3 linked regions of the Coturnix japonica genome follow. The protein of the gene in region 2 purifies or fractionates together with the protein of the main gene of each other region. This does not show direct contact. Links are inferred from orthologs where the notes say so. Each region holds a gene or a part of one and is shown on either strand. Other genes may lie near its edges.

The links.
Region 1: the proteins of TSEN15 (region 2) and CLP1 purify together in Homo sapiens (affinity purification with mass spectrometry; 4 studies listed by BioGRID and IntAct, counting the BioPlex papers as one, with this or other methods). This does not show direct contact. The link is inferred for Coturnix japonica from reciprocal best matches to the Homo sapiens genes TSEN15 and CLP1.
Region 3: the proteins of TSEN15 (region 2) and TSEN54 purify together in Homo sapiens (affinity purification with mass spectrometry; 4 studies listed by BioGRID and IntAct, counting the BioPlex papers as one, with this or other methods). This does not show direct contact. The link is inferred for Coturnix japonica from reciprocal best matches to the Homo sapiens genes TSEN15 and TSEN54.

The regions. Positions count from the first base shown.
Region 1 is NC_029520.1:7,785,358-7,789,391, forward strand, and holds CLP1 (polyribonucleotide 5'-hydroxyl-kinase Clp1), read left to right. Parts: upstream 1-1,311; 5' UTR 1,312-1,427; coding exon 1,428-2,033; intron 2,034-2,644; coding exon 2,645-3,316; 3' UTR 3,317-3,495; downstream 3,496-4,034. Other genes in the region: YPEL4 (protein yippee-like 4), read right to left, coding at 1-38, 379-885. UniProt on the Homo sapiens protein: Polynucleotide kinase that can phosphorylate the 5'-hydroxyl groups of double-stranded RNA (dsRNA), single-stranded RNA (ssRNA), double-stranded DNA (dsDNA) and double-stranded DNA:RNA hybrids. dsRNA is phosphorylated more efficiently than dsDNA, and the RNA component of a DNA:RNA hybrid is phosphorylated more efficiently than the DNA component.
Region 2 is NC_029523.1:7,227,906-7,232,241, forward strand, and holds the start of TSEN15 (tRNA-splicing endonuclease subunit Sen15), read left to right. Parts: upstream 1-1,528; 5' UTR 1,529-1,646; coding exon 1,647-1,937; intron 1,938-2,027; coding exon 2,028-2,109; intron 2,110-3,094; coding exon 3,095-3,230; intron 3,231-4,336. Other genes in the region: COLGALT2 (procollagen galactosyltransferase 2), read right to left, coding at 387-658. UniProt on the Homo sapiens protein: Non-catalytic subunit of the tRNA-splicing endonuclease complex, a complex responsible for identification and cleavage of the splice sites in pre-tRNA. It cleaves pre-tRNA at the 5' and 3' splice sites to release the intron.
Region 3 is NC_029533.1:9,501,509-9,505,685, forward strand, and holds the start of TSEN54 (tRNA-splicing endonuclease subunit Sen54), read left to right. Parts: upstream 1-1,338; 5' UTR 1,339-1,416; coding exon 1,417-1,445; intron 1,446-1,481; exon of another isoform or gene 1,482-1,496; intron 1,497-1,591; coding exon 1,592-1,726; intron 1,727-2,471; coding exon 2,472-2,535; exon of another isoform or gene 2,536-2,653; coding exon of another isoform or gene 2,654-2,672; coding exon 2,673-2,756; intron 2,757-3,920; coding exon 3,921-4,019; intron 4,020-4,177.

The DNA.
Region 1 (4,034 bases), on a different chromosome or scaffold from region 2:
TTGAACAGGTAGGCACGGCCATGGCTGCCCTGGAAGGACTGCAGGGACACAGCGTGACTCAACCCAGCGTCCCCTGTGCCACCCTCACCCCCTCCTCCATCACCACCACGCCACCGTGGGGAGGCACTGTCTGCTATGGAGATGCCGTGGGGAGTATGGGCACAGGGACACCTGGCACTGGGGACACCACGGAGGGGACACTGCAGGGGGGATGCTGTGGAGGGGACGCTGTGGAGGGGACAGCATGAAGGGGACTATGCAGAGAGAGGACAGACACCACTGCCCTGGGGGGACTCTCACTGTTTCCCAGGGACACGGCAGAGGGGACGATGGCCACCCCAGGGCCCCGGGGAGGTAACGCGGGCGCAGAGGGGGCACCTTGGAGATGAGCTCCTCGTGCCTGGCCAGGTGTGCACGGCAATGTACGCAGCTGTAGGTGCGGTGGGAGCGCGGTAAGTAGCTGTGGAAGGTCCGGGGAGGCAGACGAGCGGCGGCGGGGACCCGGTGGCGGCGGGCGGGGGGCACGGCGGGCGGCAGCGCCCCGGGGGGTCGCGGGGGTGCGGGGGGCATGGTGCAGCCCCCGCACAGCCGCTCGCAGGGGAAGAAGCAGCGCAGCAGCGTGCTGACAGCCGTCGTCCCCCCGGGTGAGAAGCGGGCGGTGAGGGGGGGCGGCCTGCGAAGGGTTAATGGGGATGGGGTGAGGAGGGGGCAGCGCTGTGCCCCGCAGCACCGCCCTACCCCCCCCACTCCCCCCGTCCCCGGTGCCTCTGAGCTCACCGCCTGCCGTGCTCCCCAATGCCGCTGTCCCCGGTGCCGGGGCGGGGCGGGGGCAGCAGACGGAGGTGGGGGGGAAGGGAGGGGAGAGCCGCGGTACGGGCACTGCATCACGGCGCCGTGACTCACTGCGCGACGTCACCGCACGGCGGCGACACGGCACCGATACGGCACCGACACGGCACCGATATGGCACCGATACGGTACCGACACGGCACAGATACGGCACCGATACGGTACCGATATGGCACCGACACGGCACCGCCAACACGGGCAGAGCTGAGGCCGCTCTGCCGGCTCCGTGCGCTTCCGAGCGGCCCCCGGGGCAGGAGGGGAGCGTGGGTCCCGTTGTGCCCGCGGCACACAGCGGGGCCGGGAGCGGTGAAACGGGGAGAGGCTGCGGGTGCGGCCCCCGATAGGAGCTGTACGGTGAGATACAGGCAGCACCGGGGGGCTGCCCGCAGAACCGGGCCCGGACTGCATCTCCCAGCACGCCCCATCCCGGTGATGGAGCGGGCTGCGCTACCACCTCAGTTCCGTCGCGTCCTGTGACGTAAGACGGCCCTGCTGCAGTCCGGGCTCCGTCCCGTGCTGCCCCGTCCCGTTCCCGGGGTCCAGCCGTGCCGCACTGCGCGGTGCGGTCGGGCCGGGCCATGGCGGATGATGGCGGCGATGAGAAGAAGCAGGTGGCAAAGTTCGAGCTGGAGCGGGAGACCGAGCTGCGCTTCGAAGTGGAGGCCTCGCAGACGGTGCAGATGGAGCTGCTGACCGGCATGGCCGAGGTGTTCGGCACCGAGCTGACCCGCAACAAGAAGTTCACGTTCGATGCCGGTGCCAAGGTGGCCGTGTTCACGTGGCACGGCTGCACCGTGCAGCTCAGCGGGCGCACCGAGGTGGCCTATGTCTCCAAGGACACCCCCATGCTGCTCTACCTCAACACACACACGGCCCTGGAGCAGATGAGGCGGCAGGCGGAGCGCGAGGACGAGCGGGGACCCCGCGTCATGGTGGTGGGCCCCACCGACGTGGGCAAGTCCACCGTGTGCCGCCTGCTGCTCAACTACGCCGTGCGCCTCGGCCGCCGGCCCACCTTCGTGGAGCTGGACGTGGGGCAGGGCTCCGTGTCCATCCCCGGCACCATGGGAGCCCTGTACATCGAGCGGCCGGCTGACGTGGAGGAGGGCTTCTCCCTGCAGGCCCCGCTGGTTTATCACTTTGGCTCCACCACACCCGGCACCAACATCAAGCTGTACAACAAGGTGAGTGTGTGGAGTCCCTGCTGTGTCACCTTGTGCTTGGCCCTGCTTGGAGCTCCAGGGTGTCTTGCCCGCCCCTGTGAGTCAGGGGTTGCCTATTGTATAAAACCGTGGTGCGATGCACCAACAAAAGCACGAAGGGTAAAAAGCTGGTCCAAATCCCCAGCGTCCTTCTCTGTCTGCAGTTTGGTGATGGTTAGGAGCCCCTATTTGGCTGAAGGTTGCCCTCAGCCACACGCTTGCCCTCGTCCTGTCTGTGCAACATTGGGATCAGCTCTGCTGATGTGGTCAAGCAGCCTTTAGTGCACGTAATGCACTTTATGGGCAGCTTCAGCACCAAATGCGGTTGCTGCCCCTCTGGGGCTATTAACTGGGAGGTGGGCAAGGAAGGATTTCAGCTCAAGTGACTGCCTGTGGCCCAGGCATTGCTTCTACCTCTTAGCACTAAATAAACCCACTGAGTGAGTTAGGAGCATTGCCTCTGATTGCTGTATCGCTAAGAATGGGACAGGTCCTCATCACATGGCCTCCAGCTGTGTGGATGCCTTGTGGGAATGGAAACATCCCTCTCAATCCCACATGCTTTATCCTCGTGTCCCAATATCTGCCTGCAGATCACATCCCGCCTGGCTGACGTCTTCAACCAGCGATGTGAAGTGAACCGTCGTGCGTCGGTCAGCGGCTGCGTCATCAACACATGCGGCTGGGTGAAAGGCTCTGGTTACCAGGCGCTGGTTCACGCTGCTTCGGCTTTTGAGGTAGATGTGGTGGTGGTGCTGGACCAGGAGCGGCTCTACAACGAGCTTAAGAGGGACCTGCCCCACTTTGTGCGCACTGTGCTGCTCCCCAAATCCGGTGGGGTGGTGGAGCGCTCCAAGGACTTCAGGCGGGAGTGCCGAGATGATCGCATCAGGGAGTATTTCTATGGCTTCCGGGGCTGCTTCTACCCCCACGCTTTCGATGTCAAGTTCTCTGATGTTAAGATCTACAAGGTGGGGGCTCCCACCATCCCCGACTCCTGCCTGCCGCTGGGCATGTCGCAGGAGGACAACCAGCTGAAGCTGGTGCCGGTGACTCCGGGTCGGGACATGGTGCATCACCTGCTGAGCGTCAGCATGGCCGACAGCCCCGACGACAACATCTCGGAGACCAGCGTGGCCGGCTTCATCGTGGTCACCGGGGTGGACCTGGAGCGCCAGGTGTTCACCGTGCTGTCTCCTGCCCCTCGCCCGCTGCCCAAGAACTTCCTGCTCATTATGGATATCCGCTTCATGGACCTCAAGTAGCTCCAGCAGGGATGGGGCAGGGGGGGACGTGCGGGATGGCCATGTGTGTCCTTGTACCACTTCTCATTGCCCAGCAGCTTCCATGCGCTGTGTTAGTGTGGGCACAGCTGGAGCAGGAGGCCATATGTTGTTTTTATATCCTTTTGTAACATTTGTTATTAAATTCATGTCTCTTTGGCTCTGTGCTGCTTGTTGCCTAGGCTGTAGGATGGAGGGATGGGCCCCTGGGTGCTGATCCCCTCTCCCCCCCGCCCCCCAGTGGCGCATGCGCGTGGCTGCTTCCCTTTTGGCGCATGCGCAGCGCGCTCCCCCGGCTCCTTCCAGTGTGTTCCCAGGCTCCGACCAATGAGGACGCGCTGCCGACGGGGCGGGACACGCATGCGCAGCCGTGACGTGGTGCCCATCCGCCGAGCGCTGCGCTCGCTCCGTGCCCGGTAGCGTTGGGCGCCGCCCGGGCCGCGCCGCAGTGTGGGTGAGTAACGCGGGATCCCCGCACGGCCCGTCCCGCTCTCGTCGCTCCCTTCTCCTCCCCTCATTGCCGGCCGTAGGGCCGCGGAGCCCCGGCCGCGCCGTGCCCCGGTGCCGCCTCCGAGCCCACGCCCGCCGCTTCACGGCTCGGCCGCTCCCGGCCCTGCCCGCCGCTTCCTCCCGGGCCCTGAGCGCTGACCCGGGAGTTGTTCGCGTCCTTCCGTGCGCGGGGCCGCGGAGCAGCGGCGTG
Region 2 (4,336 bases):
CAGCCAGGAGCCTCCCCACTGAGCTCAGCAAGCTGCGGGTCAGGCCCTACATCCCCATTTCCACGCGTACTCGCTTATCCATGTGGGGCAGGTCCCGTTGTTCTCATCATTTACATCCAGATAAGAGATTTGTTTCCAGCTCTGCAGACAGATGCAGACAGCGCAGCCCACATGGGCTCCGACGCTCCGCACACGGCGCTCCCCGATCCATGCGGACACAGATCCCCCAGCGGACGCCCCGCATCAGCGCTCCTTCCCGTCGCCCACCCGCACTGGAGGCACAGCGAACGAGCCGCTCCCCCTCACCGCGTTCTGCGGCTTCGGAGCGGTGCCCGGCTTCGCTCCATCCCCATCCCCGCAGCACCGCGCGGCCCCGGCCCCCTTACCAGAGCGCGATCCTGCTCTTGGGGTAGCGCAGCCGCTCCACGCAGCCGAGGAAGTGCGGCAGCGCGCTGGCCGCGTTGCGGGCGATGATGGCCAGCAGCACGGTGGGCTTCTGCAGAGCCGACTCGGGCAGGGGCTGCGGCTGCAGCTCGGGGTCCGACGGCGGCGGCGGCGGCGGCTCGGGGGGCAGGCTGGTCCCACAGCCGAGCAGCAGAAGCAGCAGGAGGAGGAGGAGAGCGGGATGGAGGGCGCGGGGCGCCGTGCACACAGCCATGATAGGCGCGGGGCCGCGGGGAGGGGCAGCGGCGGCCCGGCGCCCCGCAGCCTGCCCTATAGCTGCCCTATAGCTGCCCTATGGGCAGCGCGGATCCCCCGGCTCCGCTCGGCGCGGCTCGGCCCGCCCCCACGGGCTGCAGGGCGGAGCCGGCGACGGGCAGGTGGAGGCGGGGCGGATAGTTCGATACGCCTCGTGTGGCTGCAGCGCACCTGCGGCTTTAATGCCTGTCCCAACAGCCAACCTGCGCCTGTGGGACGGCGATAAGGTCTCCCCCGCTCTCCTATCACGACTTCAGTAAAGGGTCTCCAGGTACGCTGCGATCGGAGAACCTCCTACAGTCCATAAGCATCCACCGGAGCAATTAAGGAGGACGTGTTCCTGTTTCCCCTCCGTGACATCTTTCTAATTGTCCCTCTAGAACGATGTGCTAACGAGGCTTTCCTTTCACGCTGCATTGGCCACATGTCGCTGTTCCGCTCAGCTTCATTAACCACACGGAAGGAGCAGTGCTGGCATCCACACCAAGGGATCAGGGCCCCGAAGGAGCCGGGCACACACGGTGCTGCCGCAGACCCCTCACTGGTGGCAGATGCGCTGTGTGTGACACACAAGGCTGGCACCCAGCGCTTCCCAATGCACTGAGCCACGGCTGCTCCAGCTGTACCACGTTGTTTCCTAAGCCAGGACCCTCTTCCACACGCACAGGGTCCAAACCCATCCAATTTAACCTTCTGTTTCTCGCTCAGCCCTGGTGTTTCCCCTTTGCAGTGCCGCCATCTGGCTGCTCCCAGCTCTGCCTTGAGTGCACCCTCAGCCAGCTTGATGACGCCCAGCAGAGCGGTGCAGTCGATGCAACAAGACGAAGGGATGCCGTCCAGAGGGACAGGCTGGAGCAGTGGGTCCGCGTGAACCTAATGAGGGTCAACACGGCACTGGAGCAATCCCAGATACGTGTGCGGACTGGGAGGAGAACTCTCCGCACAGAATGACTCGGGCTATAACAGCACACTATTTAGTTTTGCCTTCGTTTGCCTCCTCCTTCCTACACCCCTCAGTGTCGCTCCCCCCGCAGCCGTCAGGGAACAGCGTGGAGGCGGAACTACAAGGGCGGGCAGCGCTGCGTTGTGCCGCCCGGAGCTCGGCCGTGTTGCACCGGGGGAGCATGGAGGAGCCATGCGGGGCGGCGGAGGGCGGCTCGGGAGCCAAGAGGAGCCGGGCGGGGGGCAGCGGTGACGATGCTGCTGATGGTGGAGACTGGATGGCCGCGCACCCCACGGTACGGGGCGGGGGCGGGTCGGGCTGCCCGCTGTGCGGGGATGGAGGCGGAGGGAGCTTCCTCTGACCGATGCTGCCTTCTGGCTTTCAGTTCACAGCGATGATGTCCCTCGATATATCCAACAGCTCTCAGATCTATGCTGCTTTCCTGGTGTACCTGGACCTCCTGGAAGGTAATTGAATGAATGGACTGGATGAGCATAGCAAAAATGCATTCACATGTACTCAGGTTTTATGACAGCAGAGCCATTCCTAGTAAAGTCCTTGGCAGTGGTTTTCAAACTAGATGCAGTGATCGTTCCATAAGTAACGCTGTGTTTTGGCACTGCAGATTCCCATCACATATCTGTAAGAGCCTTTGCAAAGGTTAGGGCTTGCCTTCATCTGCTGGCATGGCTGCAGTGCCAGGAGAGGAGCAGGGGAAGAAAGAATGAGGCAGAAAGGAGAGGGTACAAGCTCAGGGGTTGTTGTGGCAATAGAATGCTCTTCTGTGTGTTAATATTAAGGCTTCTAAATCACAGCAGCTCCCTCAGAGTCCAGATTAGGAACTGGCAGAAGTGCCCTGGCGTCATTGGGATGCTGGTGGCTGGAAAGGTCAAGGATATCTGTAGGAAAGAAGGGTGCCTGGTGGCAATAATTATGGCAAGCTTTGTGTAGTCTTTTGGAGCTTTACAAGAGTGGAATAGAGTTATGTGACAATGAACAGTGTCTTTTATAGTTAGGGCAGTGAGGCACTGACACAGGTTGCCCAAGATGTGGTGGGTGCCCCATCCATGGAGACTTTCAAGGCCTGGCTGGACCAGGCTCTGAGCACCTTATGAATCTGTGCATGTCCCTGTTCATTGCAGAGGAGTTGGACCAGGTGACCTCCAAAGGTCCTTTCCAACTCTAAGGATTCTATGATTCTAAAGCTCTGCAAACTCTCCCAAACTGGCTTAATTGAAAAGGAGGGCAGGCAGTGTAATAAATGTTCCATAGGAGCACTCAAAAAGGGAACTTAGCGTTTGCATGGGCTGTTTGTCTCTCCTGGGAAATGTTCTGTGAGGAGAAGGAGGGAAACAACCAAAAATGTTAAACAAAATTTGAAACCTAATATTTGAATGAATGAAACTTGTGTTTTGTGTCCTGATCCTTCTCATCGACAACTGACCTTTTTAGGGAGAAGCTGGCATGAAGTGAAGCACGTTGGATTAGCAGAACTGCAGCTTGTATGCTTACATGCCCGTGAAAAAGAGCAGGCTGATCTCCAAGTGATGGTGCCAATACCTGCGGACGTGTTAGTGAGCCATGAGAGGTGAGGCTGTGCTCAGTGTTTGGATCCCATTGCCCATAGGTTAAAAAGAAGACTAGATGAGAGGCTTTCAACTGGAGGTGCCTCATACTTGCTGAGAATCTAACGCACAACTATCCTTTGAGCTGTGATCTCGACACAGCATGTTTTAGATACGCTATGTTTTTTGCTTAGGCTTCAGGAGTGACAAATCAGTCTTTAGCAACAAACTTCCATCTTAATTCTGTGCTTTCCTAAGAGTGTATCATCAGAAGCAATTTGTGAGGGGGAAGAGAATGGCTCAGCAGATTGATGGATTCAAGTGCTATCTAGTTACTGAAGAGTCTTCCATTGGCAAACAGTGGTCATTTCTTGTGGGCTCGGTTTCATAAATACAGTGTGATAGAGCAGATCTGCTTACAGGACTTGCAGGATGGTAAACTGAGCAGCAAGTTGCAATATGGGGCCTTTGAGAAATTGCTCCTGTGTGCTGAGTTACTGTGTTTATTTAACGTAGTAGGTTTCCACCTACGTTGGAAACTTTGATTCCTAGGAATTGAGTCAAAGCCAGCAAGTACGTTCTAATTAGTTTTTAATGACAGGGAGATGATGTGCTGTGTGTACGTCCTATCTGGTACTGTTTCACTGGGGCTTTTCACTTGGAGCCTCTGGACTTGTTTGTTTTGTGGTGATGCTGTTTGCTCTGCTGCTGGCATCAGTGTGCATGGAATCTGTTACTGGAAGGATGTGAGTTAGAGGAGCAAAGAGTGAATGCATCACATTGATTGAAAGTACAGTTTGTGACTAGGTTTTGCTATAGAGCAAGTGCAGAGAGCACATTGTCACTAAAGTGAGCCAAATGTTGGGCTTTAATGCCAGGTGAGTTCATTAAAGCCTGTATATGCTTGATACAAGCATGTACTGTCTTCCTGCTTGACAACAGCTTTAGGAATTTCAGGTCTGAATACAAGTAAATGCAGTTCACTTAACATTAAAGCAGAAGCCATTGGAGGTGGTTGGGAAGGTGAAAATAGTCTGTCCTCATTCCTGGGCCCTGAAGGTTTGTGCTATCTGCATAAGCTGCTAGTAGTTGGCAGTGTTTAGGTCAGTATTTCCTTGCTCAAATAGTA
Region 3 (4,177 bases), on a different chromosome or scaffold from region 2:
CAGCTCCTCGTGCAGATAGGCAGCTTGAAGGACTGCTGCAGTCTGTGTGAAAAGCACAGTGAGAAAAGCAGAGAATTGACGCAGTACTGAAACTCATGTCACAGTTGTGCTTGTGATCAATTCACACAAGTGGCATACTGACTGCCCACCTTATTTACTTCTACCTCCTGAGCTATCAACAGATATCAACTTTGGCTGTGCTTGCAGGGTTCACTCCCTGGCTCAGCCTCATCAGTTTCCCCATTTCCACTATCCTCATCCCCACTGTAGTGGAATTCTAGGGTCACAGCCTAAATCAGTGAGTGAGCTACAAGAGTACATGAGTACCTGGAGCAGAAGGGGGAGGTCTGGAACCACCCTGCTTCCATGCAATCTGAGTCTGCGTGGGGTCCCCCCTTCCTCCCGCCCCTTTTCTCCGCTGCAGTTTGACTATACGAACTGGAAGGGTCACATTCTTCAACTTGTCCCTTTCTCCAAGCTGTTACTGGGAGGAGTGAGTTAATTCCTTTTGGTGCCTTTTTCTATAGCACCTATTTCTCAAATAAAGGATCTGTCATTGCCTTCATTTGCCCTTCACCCACTTTCAAACTCTGAACATACAGCAATAAAATCTAATCCTGCCTTCCCCACTGTTGCAGCCCTAAGGGTAAGCTGGAATTGAGGTCCCTAAGCCATGCCAGATAGCAGGTTAGTGACATCCTTCCCCCAAAACTGATTGCCACCTGAACCTTCTATACAGCTAAACTGGCCCATGACAGCTGGGTAACCAAGACGGAGAGCAGGCATGTTCTGCCAGGTGGGAAGAGGTGACTCACTGGCCCTTAGCATAGGGTTGGAATCCGACTAATAGTGTTTTATCAGTCCTCCCTGGTTGCTAATTGAACAAATTTCATTCAACAGACTCACTAGTGGGAGACAAGCCACATAAGTTCAGGTTGTTCCCCATCCACTTGTTTCACATTATTCCAGATTGTTCCAGAGGAGTTCTGGCCCATTCTGGACAGTTGTGGGTTGTTCTGGAAGGTTCCAGAGCATTCCAGAGGCTCCCAGCCAGTTCTGGAGGATTGCAGGCACTTCCAGACGGTTCTGGGTGGCCCTACAGCAACTGTGATGCCCACGATAATGAGGTGGAAGGAGGCGCATTTTTATCTTTTTTTCTCACCATCTGAGTTTATTGAAATTCAGCTACATTTCCGAGGTTATTAGTTAGCGATGTCCCAGTCTTTAACGACCCATCATCTTTCCCAGCTGTTTTTCTGCTCATTTCACGTACAGCTCCATGAACACCGACGGCGACCGGCTGCCCCGCCCCGCCGGGCTCCTGCTCCCGGCTCCCTGCGCCCTCCGAGCCGCCAGGGGGCGCGCGAGGCTCTCATAGCGCTCCGCCGGCGCTGGGGCGTCCCGTGTTGAGCGGCGATGGAGTCGGGCTGTTCGCGGCACCCGAGGTGAAGGGCAGGGAGGGTGGGAGACTTAAAAGGGCGGCTCTGACGGCTGAGGTGGAGATGGGAGCGGTGAAGTTGATGGTTTAGTGGCAGCGGTTGTGCTTGGTTTGGCGCTGCTGTGCTCTTACCGCTTCCCTCCTTCCCTGCAGGCGGAATAGGGCCCCTCGGCGCTCCTGCGGGCAGAAGGAGCTGGTGCCCGACGGCTCAGCCGAGCAGGCCGAGCGGCTGCGGGTGTGTTTGGAGGAGCAGCGGCAGCAGCTGGCTGAGGAGCGTGTGGAACGGCCGTAAGTGTCTGCGCCCAGAGCTTGGGTCCCAGCGGCAGTGGGGGCGTAGCCGGCTTGGATGGGCCCGCACAGCCCCTTGGTGCGGCCGGGTGGGCCTGCAGGCTGCGTGCTGGTGGTGCTGCAGTGCAGGCATCGCTCGGAGCTCCTTATGCTGCATCAGTTCTGGTGGTTTCTGCTGTACTCTGGAAATCGTGGTTTCTTGGGAGCTTTCCTCAGCTGTTTGTCGCTTCTCCACCAGTTGTGTGCTAACAGTTTTCCTGTTATTGCTAAGTGGTAGAAGCCCTTTGCATAAAGATGCACAGGCTTTCAGGGTGGTGGCTTTCAGGCAAGGCGGAGTGCGTTGTTGCCTTCCACTGCATATCTGTAAACATGTGTCTGGAGCAGCAATGGAGGCTCTCAGAATGGAAGGGAGGTTGGAAAGGTTAAGGTTCCTTTCATATAACAGCCATTGACACAGGGAAATTGAGGTACTAAGCATATAGTTGTATCTCCAGCAGCATGCTGCAGTATGGACTGACATTTGGGTGATGCCTGGAGGTGCTCTTAACTAGCGTGTGATGATAAAAATCCTCACCTGGTACTGCTGGATGCAGAGAATAGCAGCTTTCTCAGGCTTTACATTGTAAAAGTACTGCCTGAAGGTTTGCTGTTGTTTAACCTTGTTAAATTGCTAGAATAGGAGTTAATCATGGCTGATTGTAAAACATGCTGGTAACAAAGAAACCCTAATTTTTAACCTTCTCAGGGGGAATCTGGTGAAAGCCGTGTGGAAGCCAGAACAGGGCATTGTGGAGCTGGAGTCCCCTGCGGTGAGTCTGCTGCAGAGTGTACTCAGTACCATCATCTCCTGCTGGCAACTCCTTGTTTTGCTTCTTGAAATGGGAGAGAGCCTGGTTGTCAGCAGTGAACAGCCATAATCCATCACAGGTTTGTGCTTCTGTTGCAGGGGAAGTTCTGGCACACTATGGGATTCTCACAGTGTGGCAAACAGTGTCTACTGCCTGAGGAGGCTCTGTACTTGCTGGAGTGTGTAAGTAGGCTACCTACACATGGATGGGAGCACTGGGCTTTTCATGAATGACTGAGGGAGCTGTAGTAGCTGGATGTTTACCTCCCTTTTGATTCACGTCTAAAGTCAATTGACGTGTGTTGGTTGTTGCTGCAAACTGAGCAGTTGATAAATGACTGATTCCCAAGGTGTTGTCTCTTAGCCTGTTTGCTGATGGCATTGTTGGTTTCCAGGCCATGGGTTTATCTGTTGCATTCGAAAGCAGTCTTTGTGCTGTTGATAGGATGTGTCAATTGAACCAGTAGCCAATTTATCCAACTGGTATTGTCTTTATCCCACTATATATCAGATGTGATGGTAGATATTGGAAAAGTGTCTGGATTATTTGTGTTACTGTTAGTAAAGTAGTAATAACTCTGGGTTTTCTCTTCACAGACAGTTGTTACCAGTGGCATAGGTGCACCAATCTAAAGGGGAGCTTTTTTGCCTTTAATTAGATTCATGGGTATCTAGTAATATTAAGTCTTTATTGCAGTAGCTGGATATTCTTTGCCTTTTGCAGTTCGACAATAGATTTTAAAAAACAAACAAACAAACAAAAAAACCCCTCAGTAATACTTAATCATTTGTTAAGTACAGAGCCCATCCCCAGAAGCAGAGAAGACCATCTGTGTGTTTTTTGTTTGCTTGTTTTTGGAAAAAGAGGTATAGCCTCTGGAGATTAATTGCTATTGCCTGGTGAAATTTATCTCTGGGTCTGAGGCTGTAAATGTTTAAGGAGCCACCAGCTGGTAGTATCTGAAGATGCCTTCAGTTCCCCTTTCTCAGCTCTCTCCATGTTGCTAGTACTAAATGTTTTGTGGCTGTGCTGTGTACTAGATTACTGAGATGATCAAAATTAAAGGGAATTATCTCCCAAAACAATTATATTTCAACAGTTGAGCAGATGCAGTAGTATTAAGGGGTAGTGCTGGGACAGAAGCTGGCAGCTTTGGATAAAAACATCTTACCTCACTGCTAAAACCATAGTGTTGAGGAGGGACTGTATGTAGGAATCCAGGAAGTGCTTGAAAAGGCAAGGATGGTGCTGGGTCCAGCTATTGGGACCCACTGACAAGATGCTGTTATGACCTTGCATAGATTTGTTCCCTGTGATCCTCTAAACATCAGTCTTTATCTCCGCAGGGCTCTCTTCAGCTCTTTTACAAAGACATGATTATGTCAGTCCAGGAAGCCTATGAAATTCTGCTGTCCCAGGAGGTGATGAACCTGCTACGTTACCAGGTGTGTTGGGAGCTTCAGCAGAGGATGAAAGCAGGAAGCCAAGCCCAGCCTTTGCAACATGACCTTTCCCAGGGACAGGGTAGACAGGAAGGGAAGTAGAGTTGTTCTGAGTTTCCCTACTACCACCACCCCCACTTATCTTTTTCTAGATAATTATT